3 linked regions of the Callithrix jacchus genome follow. The protein of the gene in region 1 interacts with the protein of each later gene in a biochemical or structural test. Links are inferred from orthologs where the notes say so. Each region holds a gene or a part of one and is shown in the gene's direction. Other genes may lie near its edges.

What was found. The genes of interacting proteins can lie anywhere in the genome.
Region 2: of the proteins of PTPN6 (region 1) and ROS1, one has a biochemical effect on the other in vitro, tested with the Homo sapiens proteins (2 studies listed by BioGRID and IntAct). The link is inferred for Callithrix jacchus from reciprocal best matches to the Homo sapiens genes PTPN6 and ROS1.
Region 3: the proteins of PTPN6 (region 1) and LCP2 form a complex in vitro, tested with the Homo sapiens proteins (2 studies listed by BioGRID). The link is inferred for Callithrix jacchus from reciprocal best matches to the Homo sapiens genes PTPN6 and LCP2.

Annotation. Positions count from the first base shown.
Region 1 is NC_133510.1:21,210,897-21,214,974, forward strand, and holds the start of PTPN6 (tyrosine-protein phosphatase non-receptor type 6), read left to right. Parts: upstream 1-1,278; 5' UTR 1,279-1,438; coding exon 1,439-1,452; intron 1,453-4,078. Other genes in the region: C9H12orf57 (protein C10), read left to right, coding at 230-381. UniProt on the Homo sapiens protein: Tyrosine phosphatase enzyme that plays important roles in controlling immune signaling pathways and fundamental physiological processes such as hematopoiesis.
Region 2 is NC_133505.1:123,720,113-123,724,219, reverse strand, and holds the start of ROS1 (proto-oncogene tyrosine-protein kinase ROS), read left to right. Parts: upstream 1-1,307; 5' UTR 1,308-1,930; coding exon 1,931-2,053; intron 2,054-4,107. UniProt on the Homo sapiens protein: Receptor tyrosine kinase (RTK) that plays a role in epithelial cell differentiation and regionalization of the proximal epididymal epithelium. NELL2 is an endogenous ligand for ROS1.
Region 3 is NC_133503.1:62,542,421-62,546,532, reverse strand, and holds the start of LCP2 (lymphocyte cytosolic protein 2), read left to right. Parts: upstream 1-1,312; 5' UTR 1,313-1,485; coding exon 1,486-1,563; intron 1,564-4,112. UniProt on the Homo sapiens protein: Adapter protein primarily involved in signaling pathways within T-cells, as well as other immune cells such as platelets, mast cells, and natural killer (NK) cells.

The DNA of each region.
Region 1 (4,078 bases):
AGAAGCGCACTGCTTTGGGACATCTTCATTCATGCACCCCATCCAGTTGTGCCCAACGTAGAATAAGAAGTTGATCCAAACTGCATGGGGCAGAGTCCTGCATGTGCTGTTCTGCCAACAGCTGCCCTGCCAGTGGGGGAACAGCTCAAGCTCAGACTACCACCCCCTCCACCTGTCTTAGGCACGCTGGTCCTTAGGAGAAGCATTGACCCTCCACTCCCTCTTGCAGGTGTCCTCAAGTTTGCCCGCTTGGTCAAATCCTACGAAGCCCAGGATCCCGAGATTGCCAGCCTGTCAGGCAAGCTGAAGGCACTGTTCCTGCCACCCATGACGCTGCCACCTCATGGACCTGCTGCTGGTGGCAGCGTGGCTGCTTCCTGAGAGTTAGCCCTCCCTTGTGCCACTAACAGGGGAGGAAAGGCCTTGATGTTCCAGTCAATAATAAATGTGTCTGCGACTTAGCCTTCTTGTCAGTTTTCTTGTCACTCTGCCACCCAGGCTGGAGTGCAATGGCGTGATCTCAGCTCACTGCAACCTCCGCCTCCCAGGTTCAAGTGATTCTCCTGCCTCAGCCTCCTGAGTAGCTGGGACTACAGGCGCATACCACCGCGTCCAGCTAATTTTTGTATTTTTAGTAGGGACGGGGTGTCAACATCTTGGCCAGGCTGGTCTCGAACTCCTGACCTTGTGATCCACCCACCTTGGGTTACAGGTGTGAGCCACCGTGCCCCGTGTCAGTCTTTGTGGACCTGACAACCTCCCTCTCTCCTCCCCAGATTCTCTCTTCCTTTCCAGGCCGCATCCTCCTGAATAGCTCTTTCCTATACTCCTGGCTGGGCCTAACCCTGCTCCAGTGAGGGCTGAGGCTCCTCCCCTTTCCCCAGGGCAGGGTAAGAGGTTGGACTGGGCTCCTCAGCGCCCTGGGTGGGTGGGCGTGCACAGGGCGCACCTCCTTCTCTGAGGAATTGGGCTGTTAGGGCTTTTCCTTAGGCCCTTTGGTTTGCGCCTACTGAGAGATTTCCCCCATTGGTTGCTCTTCCCTCAGCCAGGGTTACTTCCTGGTCTTTGCCCCTACCCAACCTCCCGCCGCTCTGTCAGCTTGAGCTCCAGGTGGAGCTCCAGGTGGCTCCTCCTCTCCCGAGGGAAGGCAGCCCTGGACCGGCGGGAGGGCCTGCTGGACTCCCGCACTGGGGCTGCAGGGAAGCTGGCTGCTGTGGGCGGTCTCAGGCCAGCCCCGCCCCACCTGTCCTTTTCCTGGAGACTATTAGTCCAGGGTTTGTCCCTGCGGGGCCATTGGCCTGGCAGGCTGGATTGAGGAGGAAGTGACTGATTTCTGAGAGGTTCGTCCTCACCTGGCTTGGGCCACGGTGCACAGCTGTGCCACTGGCTCAGCCCCGCCCCCTGAGGCCCTCTGCCGTGACTTCATCCCTCCAGAGAGATGCTGTCCCGTGGGTAAGTTCGTGCACCACCTGGGTCCCAGTCTCCTGTTAGTTTTGGAGGGAGGGAGGCCTTGTTCATGCTCACTGCAACATGTGTGTGAGCCTGAGTGCGATCTGCCGCTGCCCTGCCCTGCGCCTGCTTCCTGTCCCTATGAACCTTCCCTTCCCGCAAGGTGTGAGGACCCCCGGGCTCATTCATGCCCCTCTGGCCCCTCTTTAACATTTTCCCCTGACAAGTGTATATCTCTTCTCTCCATTGCATTTCTACCTCCAGCCTCTGGGCTCCTGCTTCTGCCTCCTGCTTGGGACCTGTCCCTTGGGTAGTTCACATCACCTCAAACATAGCAGCAGTTAGAGGCCACCCGTGAAGGCCTCTCCTGCCCAGCCAACTTCCCTGCTCTTCCCATTATCTGACTTTGGTCCCATCTTCTTTCCGGTTCCTTTCACTTCCCTTTCCCTTGCATCATTCATTCATCAGATACGTGCTGAGCATCTATTGCACACAGGGTGCTGTTTAAGATGCTGGTAATACTGGAGTGAACAAGACAGACATGGTCCCTGCTTTCACGGAGCTTATGTTCCCATGGGAGGTCACAGACTGAACAAACAACCCAATAAATTGGATCATTGCAGATTCTCAAAAGTGTTATGCAGAAAATGAAACAGCCTCGGCTGGGCATGGTGGTCCACACCTGTGATCCCAGCACTTTGGGAGGCTGAAGCGAGAGGATTGCTTGAGCCCAGGAATTTGAGACCAGCCTGGCCAATATAGTGAGACCCTGTCTATACAAAAAATAAGCTGGGTATGGTGGCACACATCTGTGGTTCCAGCTATGGAGAGGCTGAGGTGTGAGGCTTGAGCCCAGGAGGTCAAGGCCACAGGGAGTGGTGATTGCACCACTGCACACCAGCCTGGGCAACAGAGTGAGACCCTGTCTCGAAAAAAGAAAATGAACCAGCTTCATGTGCTAGCAAGTGACTGGGTGTGCAGGTGACATTACTAGCTGGAGGGATCAGGGAGGGCTTCCTGAGGAGGTGACATTTGAGCTGAGACCTGGATGAGGAGGAAGAGGAGTTAGGCGTGGTGGAGAAAGAAAGAAAGAGAGAGAGGGAGGGAGAAAGGAAGGAAGGAAACAGAGAAAAAGAAGGAAGGAAGAAGATAAAAAAGAAAAGAATGATGTGGTGATCAAGAGTCAAGCATCCTTAGGCCGGGTGTGGTGGCTCACGCCTGTAATCCAAGCACTTTGGAGGCCAGGGCAAGCGGATCACCTGAGGTCGGGAGTTCAAGACCAGCCTGACCAACATGGTGAAACCCCGTCTTTATTAAAAAAAAAAAAGAGTCAAGCATCCCTGGGCAGAGGAGATGGAGCGCACAAAGCTCTAACGTGGGAACAAACAAAAAAAGGACAGTCTGCCTGTGATGCAGTGACAGAGGACCCTAGAGGAGCGGAGGCAGGGCCAGGGCAGGTTAGACTCTGTTGGACCTGGGATGGTGAAAGTGAAAACCTGGCCGGCCGAGGTAGCACACACATGTGATCCCAATTTGGGAGGCTGAGGTGGGAGGATCGTTGGAGCTCAGGAGTTTGAAACCAGCCTGGGCAACATAGCAGTTTGGGAGGTGGGAGGATCACTTGAGCTCAGGAGTTTAAGAGCACTCTGGGAAGCACAGGGAGACCTCATTACTACTGCTACTACTAATAATAAATAGCTGGGCATGGTGGCACACACCTGTGGTCTCAGCTCCTTGGGAGGGTGAGGCAGGAGGATCACCGGAGCCCAGGAGGTCAAGGCTGAAGTGAGCTGTGATTGTGACACTGCACTCCAGCCTGGATGACAGAGCAAAATTCTGTCTCAAAAAAAGAGAGAGAGAATGGAGAGAAAGGAAAAAGAAAGGAAAAAAGAAGAAAGAAAGAAAAAGAAAGAAAAGAAAAGAAGGAAGGAAGAAGGGAAGAAAGGAAGGGAGGGAGGGAGGGGCCAGGCGCAGTGGCTCAAGCCTGTAATTCCAGCACTTTGGGAGGCCGAGGCAGGTGGATCACTAGGTCAAGAGATCGAGACCATCCTGGTCAACATGGTGAAACCCCGTCTCTACTAAAAATACAAAAAATTAGCTGGGCGTGGTGGCACGTGCCTGTAGTCCCAGCTACTCTGGAGGCTGAGGCAGGAGAATTGCTTGAACCAGGGAGGCAGAGGTTTTGGTGAGCCAAGATTGCACCACTGCACTCCAGCCTGGTGACAGAGCGAGACTGTCTCAAAAGAAAAAAAAGAAAAAGAAAAAGTGACAACCTGCTTACAGAGTACTGGCGAGTTTGTGGGTGTGTGGCTCCCCAGCCCTACTGATTCTTGCTTCTCACACTCATCTCTGCTCCTGCCCCAGTGCTCACCTCATCACTGTCTGCCCCACCGACGGGGTTCCTACTGAGTCTTCTAGTCCTGAATCCCTTCCACGGCCATTTTCCTCCCAGGTAGCTTGGCCAGGCCTCCCCTTGTGCAGATTCCATCCTCAGTTTCTCAGCCTGGCCTTGAATGACCCTCTGCAGCAGGGTCCCAACCTCTCAGAGCAACTTTGCTCCAGCCACATAGCTCTGCTCACAGCCAGGCACTGCGCACATGAACTCTGTGCATGCCACCTCTTTGCCTTG
Region 2 (4,107 bases), on another chromosome or scaffold:
ATAATAGTTTAATACGTATAGTCAAAACTGTACATATTGAAATGACTTAGGGTGTACTTGGATTGTTAGCACCTCAGTGGATAAGTGCTTGAGGGAATGGACACCCAATTCTTGATGTGCTCACTTCACATTGCATCCCTGTTGCAAAACATCTGTACCCCATAAATCTATACACCTACTACGTACCCACAAAAATAAAAAAAAAAATCCAATGATAAATATGTTCAGCTCAAAACAAAATCTCAGGTATGTGTTACTCATAATGAGAACCTTATATTATTAAGAAAAGGTTAAGTTACATTTAGTACAATTTATTTAAGAAAAGAAGGAAGCTGGCCAGGCGCAATGGTTCATACCTGTAATTCCAGCACTTTGGGAGGCCGAGGTGGGCAGATCACGAGGTCAAGAGATCGAGATCATCCTGGCCAACATGGTGAAATCCCGTCTCTACTAAAAATACAAAAATTAGTTGTGGTGGTGCCCGCCTGTAGTCCCAGCTACTCGGGAGGCTGAGGCAAGAGAACTGCTTGAACCCAGGAGGCAGAGGTTGCAGTGAGCCAAGATTGCGGCACTGCACTCCAGCCTGGCGACAGAGTGTGACTCAGACTCAAAAAAACAAAACAAAACAAAACAAAAGAGAAAAATGAAAAGACAACAAGGAAGTTTATTTGACACCTTAGCTTACCATGTAGAAGGCATCACTACAAAAATATCTGGCTTTTAAGACTTATTAACAATCTAAAAAGTAGCTATTGAGAATGATTCTCTTCCATATTTTGTAGATTTCAAATTCTTTGTTCTAGGCTTCAGCTTAACTTTATCTTCATGCGTGACTAATTGAAATTCTGTACAATATGGCCTAGTGCAGTGGCTCACACCTGTAATCCCAGCACTTTGGGAGGCCAAGGTGGAGGGATCAGCCTGACCAACATGGAGAAAACCCGTCTCTACTACATATACAAAATTAGCTGGGCGTGGTTGGAAGCGCCTGTAATCACAGCTACTTGGGAGGCAGAGGCAGGAGACTCGCTGGAACTTAGAGGCGGAGGTTGCAGTGAGCCGGGATGGCACCATTGAACTCTAGCCTGGACGACAGAGTGAGACTCGGTCTCAAACAAACAAAAAAAAAAAAACAAAAAAAAAAAACCGGTATAATGTTTCCTTCTCAAGGCAGACACTTGTGCATATCTTAGGTTTCTGGTAACTAGCTTCAGCTGTTTCAATAGACCTGATAAGGCAGTATTTTAGTTAATATGTACTGAAGTTCTGAGAGTGCTCTAACGAACTTCCTTGATTTTTTTTAACTCACTCCCAGGTTATTTGTCTATTAATTTCAGCTTTGTTTGCTTTTAAATTAAAAAACATGTATTTGGCTTCAGAGTTCTGTTTTCCCTCTCAGTTGCGTTGCTTGAGTTGGGTGCTTTTATTTTTTCAATAATTCATTATTATAATAATGCTACTGTTTGCTAAGGCATACGTGGTCAAAACCTAATTCCTGCAGAGCTGAAAGGAACTCAGAGAAGTAAGGTGGAGGACGTGGTGGATGACCCACTGAAATTGAAATGAAACTGAAATGTTCCAGTTTCAGGCTACGCATGTTTCACACCCTTGCTGAAATACAATTTGCGTTTCTTTAATTTCCATGTGAAATGCTCTTCTAAAAACTAACTTTTAGTCAGTGGGTGACTTTCTTTATGGGAGTAAAAGAAAGCTGTTATGAAACAGCTGTTTTGGAACTGTTACAAGCTTTCAAGGATTCAAAGGTCTAAATATTATTTCAAAAATCTAACATATTCTAATATAGCAAAGCAAGCAAAAGAAAATCCATCAACTACTCCTTCAATTGAAGTGATGAAGCCCAAATAATTCATACGGCAAAATGGAGAAAATTAGAAGACTGGCCATCTAAAAATCCGCCATTGGTGAAGTGATGAAGAACATTTACTGGCTTATTCTGCAACTTGCCAATTTTGCAACTCTTGGCTGCCTATGGATTTCTATGGTGGAGTGTACAGTTTTAAATAGCTGCCTAAAATTGTGTGTAACTAATCTGGTAAGTCTCACAATCTAATATTTGTCTTTGCAGGAACTGGAGCATGTAGAATTCAGCTTGTTATAACTGGTAGAATCGTTTTTTCTTTAGGAGGAGTTTTCTTATGAGAAGTGGTGGCAGCAAGGCAAGATAGATTATTTTTTCTTAAGTAAGTTAGGAGCATTTATACTTCAGAAGATAAAGCAGGCTATTTTATTTCTTTAGGGTACCTGGTCATCTTTTGGGGGGCTAAAGGATTGGGTAAAGGAAGTTTAAATGGAGTCAATTTTGCACATTAAAAAAAATCAATTTAAACTCACTTATTACAAAGTCACTAATAGTTATCTTGAAACATAAAATAAGTTTAGCCACAGGATAATGCCTGCTAATTCCAGCATAACAGTAATAATTACATCAGAGATGGATAATGTATAGGGAGCTGGATGACCAGGAAGCAGATACAGATGCCATGTAAAATAATATAATATTTTAAAGCAATAAATATGTGCACATTCCTTTTTTTCTCTGTATGCATTTATAATTTTATCTTAGTGAGTTTTTTTACATGGAAATTTATGCTTTCATTCTCATTTCTGGTTATCATACCTTCTATAAATATTGTATCATCTCTTTTTATTTGTAATTTAGTTTTAAACATAATACTAGTACTAAATATAGTATTCATTATATTATGCTGAAGTGTTGGAGATAGAATTCTGTGACAGATTAAAAAAGAAACTTGTGCTTAAACACTTTTGATTTAGTTTAAACTGTAGTTTAAAACATTACTTAGGCTTACTATGGTTAATAGCATTTTTTGAAAAGTTTAGTATTTTATATAAATCTTTGCCAATGATTTCATTTCCTTTAATATAGAATTGCATGCTTTAGTTTTTTATATTTGTAACCCAAACTTAAAAATGGAAGAATGGAACTAATAAATGTTTTAAAAAGATTTTAATTATAAGAATATACATTTTAAATAAAATATTTATAAGATATAGAACTAGAGAAGAATAAAAAACCTTTATAATTATGCCCCTAGTAAACTTTTGATTGAATTTTCTTTTAGTATTTTTCCTCATATATATATGTGTACATATATGTTTATAATTTACACACAGCTATGCATCCAGCTTTTTCATTACATTATATTGAGTTTTCCCCTAGATCCTGAAAGGTTTTCAGAAACAGAATCTTTAATATCTTTAGATTATTCCATTATATGACTAAACCACCACAATTTATTTATTTCCCCACTACTGAAACTGATTTTAGTTGTTTCCAGTATTGCAGTCTCCATTTTATTTTATTGTAGCTTCATTTATTCTTATCTTTTTGTGTGGGCTCCTTGCTTTCAGGATTTGGCAGTAGGAATAGACACTTTGTTCCTTTGTTGAGTTGCCTTCCGTTCACCACCTACAGAGAAAAGCACAGCTGATATGCGGCAACAGCAAGAGAGACACCGTCTGCCAATTTGACCAGTGAAAGTACAGCATGTTCCCACACAGGGCTTGGAGGGACAAAAGTGAAGTGAATAAACAATTGAATGTAGCCATTGTTCACAGGAGAGGATATACAAAGTGCTCAAATTTATTATATTTTCTGTGTCATTTTTAAAAACATGGACATTTACTCTGAAGGTCATCTATAATTTTACTGGTTGATTCTTGATATTGAGGCATGTTTCCTTAAAAAAGAAAAACACAAAAATGTCTCATCCAAAAAAAAAATGTTAGAACTGTGGACCAAAATGCACAAAGCACAGTTCTATGCTTGAGCATGGGTATTTTACATTAATTTTAGCTTACATTAACAGAGATCTGCATGTATTAGTTAAAAGAATTAAATCAAAAGGTTTTTTTTTTAATTCTAGATGCTATGTACTGCAGAAAGCAACAAATAATTAATGCTCTTCAGAACACTAGTATTGTGAGATCCTTTATGAAAAAGAAAAAAGAATTCATGGTTGAATAATTTATAGAAGTGTATTTTGCTATGCCCTCTTTTTGTAAATCCACATGGCGCAATAGCATATTAAAGGCTTTGTTTAATCATGATTTCCCCATCTTCTT
Region 3 (4,112 bases), on another chromosome or scaffold:
CAGCGGGGCTATGCTTTATACACCGTGATCAGCTACTGCAGGCTCTTAGCTGTGAAGCCCTGCAAGGAGCACATGGCCTGGGCCACCTTGACAGATGGCCTCAGTGCCTTCTAAGGTGAGGCCAACACTAGTTTATGTTGATAAGCCCCTTTCTAGGTGCTGGGTTTGAAGCAAAATGTGTATTTCATTTAAGCTGTCACCCAGCTTATGAGGCAGATGCATCACAGTGATGACAGGGCTCCTGGGAGTGTGTATAAGATGGAAAATGTGCACGGCCAAAGCTATGCTTGAAGACTCTCAGGAAGGCACCACCTCAAGGACCAACATAGCATCACTTTGTGTGTGTGTGTGTGTGTGTGTGTGTGTGTGTGTGTAGCATTAGATGGAGAAGTAATTTGTGTTTAGAGGCTGACATATTGCACAAATATAGTTGCTTTTATACACTGGACTCACCCTCTGCCAATGAGTTGTTCAGTTATGAGAAATGAACAATGTCTGAAACTAAGAAAACAGCAGATTCTCACCTCCTATCTCCAGGGAATGTGCTCTTTGGCTAGAATATATGGCAGAATCAATAGTGAATAAAATACATTGTGGAAATAATTGTGAATGGAATATACGACACTATCAATAGCAATTGTTGAGTTTTTTTCTTTTTTTCTTTTTACGTTTGTCTAGTTAAATGCATCTAAGTTTTACGTGTGTATGAAGAATCACTCTGTTTTCCTATTCTACAGATATGGAAACTGAGATCCCTAGTTTTTAAGTCCTTGTCTAAGGTTGCATAGCACAGAAATAGTCACATCAGAAACTGAGCCTTGTCTGCACGGTGCAGCACTTTGCTCAGCTCTGGGTACCTGACTCACTCACTCCTTGAGGACCCTCTCATGACGACTGTAAACAGGCAGCTGAAAGAATCCCAATCTTTGATGGTGGGAGGGGAAGGTGTTTAGAAAGCATGAGAAGGCCATGCTCCAGCAGTTCACTGATGTGGGAAATTGTCTGGATTTCAGGTCAACTGTCAGGATAGATTTTGGACTGCAAAGGCCCAGCTGAGCAAGAATGCAGTGTAGACATGAGTGCCTGGAGCATTAAAGGAAAAATACTCGGACTCACATTGGAGTTTAAAACCCCTTCACTGCCTCTCCAGCTCGGTTGGGGTGAATGGAGCCAGTGGCTCTCTCTGCATCTCAAGCCTCCAGAGCTGAGCTTCCTTGTTTACTTATTTAGAGCCCAGCAGAGGAAGTGGTAAAGGAAACTAGCTGAGTCGTTTTCTGAGAAGAGACCATATTTGTTCGCAGAGGAAGCCGTTGCTTTCTGGGATCTGGCTACAGCAGAAAAGACATCAGCTCCAACAGGGGTGTTCCACAGGGTAGCTGAGAGTTGGAAGAGCCAAGAACGCCTCTGAGCACTGGATTTGAGCTTCTCTGTGCATGGGTGCAGCGCACATGCTCAGCTTGTGAGCTTCCTCCCGGGAGAGCAGCCATGGCACTGAGGAATGTGCCCTTTCGCTCAGAGGTCCTAAGCTGGGACCCTAACAGCCTTGCTGACTATTTCAAGAAGGTGAGCCTTGCTCTTGTGTGAGTGGTCATGCTGGTAGTGCCATTGGTGGGCTGAACTGAGGCTAGAAGATGGATTTGGAGCAGAATGTGGGAGGTGTATAAGATAGCAATGGCACTAACCGTATGGCAACCTTACTGGGTGAGTGAGTGCCATACAGACCGCTGAGTTTTTCTGGCAATGCGTTCTGGAGAGAAAGGTGGGCACAGGAGCCCTCAAATGAGTATGTGCCTATTATATGCTAGGGTTTGAATTCAGTGCTTCACAGGCACTGTCCCATTTAACACTCCTTACTATCTTGTGAGGTCAGTGTTGTTATCCTCTTGGTTCAGCTGCAAAATCAGCTCAGGGAAGTGAAATGGTCCAAAGCCCTAGGGACTACAGGTTATAGAGGCAAGATCCAAGTCATACCTTTCTGGTTTTAAAGTCCATTCTCTGAGACACAGAGGACTGTTGTAACTGCTAATGAGATCAAGGCTACTTACTAGAAAGAAGAGACGTGGTGTCCTGGAGGCAGGAGAAAGAACAAGCTGGGTGCAAGGGCTGGAGAGAGGACTATGATGAGCAGTGCCAGACATGGCATTTGGGCTTTCACTACTCACGACCCTGGGGGGGGTCCTCAGGCTCTCGTCTGGGGCAGAGTCTCCTTGGAGCTTTTTGAGAACCTTATGAAGCAGGCCAGAAAACTGATATGAGCCCCAATTTACAGCTATGAAAACTGAGGCCCCTAGAGGGGAAGAGGCTTGTGGCAGTGCTGGGAGCAGAGTGTTGCTGTCTTATCTTCTGGACTTGGAGGAAAGGTTGAAGGATCCCTGTGCTTGGTCATTGGCAGGTGGGGACCACACATCTGCTTAGGCAGATCTGAGGCCACATGACTTACTTAGGGTCCATCTACCCTGACCATGGGGCAAGATGCCCTGTGAGAGACATTTGAGCTTCTAACACCCCCATCCTTACAGGCCGGCATCAGATTCTGTTGATATTCCAGACTGTCACAAAGATGAGATTATAAAACTAAGGGTGTAGAAGTCATCTAATTCAACTTCCTGTTTTTCCTGGGGAAATTGAGATTCAAGGGCACATATAGCCAAACCTGGGCTCTGCACAGTTCCATGGTATTTATAGTCGCAGCTGTTCTCCTCCACCCTAAAGAAGAAAATGTGCGCATGTTGAACTAGGTGCAGCATGGTAGTGGCACAGCTCACAGATCCTGTTTTTGGCCATATTTTGTGCTTTTTGTTTCTGTTATTTTCATTCTGCAAGGTCATAATAAACTTAGGTTTCAGCAAACATCGTTGCAAAACTGGTTTTTGAAGGATGTTTCTAAATACCTTTCTCAAATATAGACCAAATAAGACAAGGCAACAAGGTATAATTTGTTAAGAGGGAATAAAGTGGCATGCTACCTCAGTAAAGGAGAAAGAAAGGAATTGAGAATTATGAAGAGAAGGACTTGGGGCAGGCTGAAAGGCACAGACAGGCCAAACTTTCAAGTGTGACCAGGAGAATTATACAATCCAGCTGAACAACGGAGAATTGATGCCTAAATTCCCGTCAGTACAGGGAGATGGTCCATTGGTCAGGAATGGTACAGGAAGATCTCTCTGGGGGAAGCGAGAGTTTTCTTCCTGGAGATCTCAGACCCCAGGACAAATCTACAGCACCCAGGCAGTTTCCTTCTTCTGGCATAAATGAACTGAGGGAAGAAACTATGAGACTGAGGCAAATCTGTGATCCTGGAAGGCCTAGTCCCTCCACAGACTTAGATAGAGCCCTTTCAGATTCTAAGAACCTCAACCCCCTGAAAGAAAATGCCAAATTAATGGACCGCAGAGTCATACGGGAATGGATCTTAGACATCAAACATGACATGTAAAGGATTGATCTGCAGATGCAAATTCTACCCAAGTAGTGGGGTCAGGCCTCCCTTGGAGACACCTCCCGACTCAGCTCTGGAGTCGGACACACCTTGGCCTGGCTCTGCAACCTGCTAGCTTGGTGACTTTCTTGTAGTTCTTTGCCTCTCTGTGCCTCAACTTCCTCATCAGTGAGATAGAGACATGAACAGTAACAACACAATGGGACGGTTGTCAGGATTAAAGGAAATGGTGTGTGCAGGGCACTCAGAAGACAGATTGGTACTAATGCATGTTCCATCTGCCCTTTTTCCTTCTCCATTCTGGCTCCTAGCTGGGGACACCCACGCAGACTGGTGGGACTTTGTGTCTTCTTGTCTCTGACATGTGTAACACATCCTGTGTCTGGAATATAAGCTCCTGAGGACTGAGACTATGTTGTATATTTGTTCAATCTCTCCAATTCCTTTTGACTTGTAGGAGAGCATTCTTGAGTCATGCAGTGGAGAGGCGCTGACTCAGAGCTGTGTGTCCTAAACCCAAATGGGATCCCAGCTGGTATCCCAGCTCTCTGTGTGAACTTAGACCAGTCTCTTTCCCTCTACAGGCCTCTGCCTTCCTAACTACAAATTCAGGTGACTTTTCTGAACAAGTGTCTGCCAAAGCTGGATGCCATAGGCTAATTATCTAGGGTGC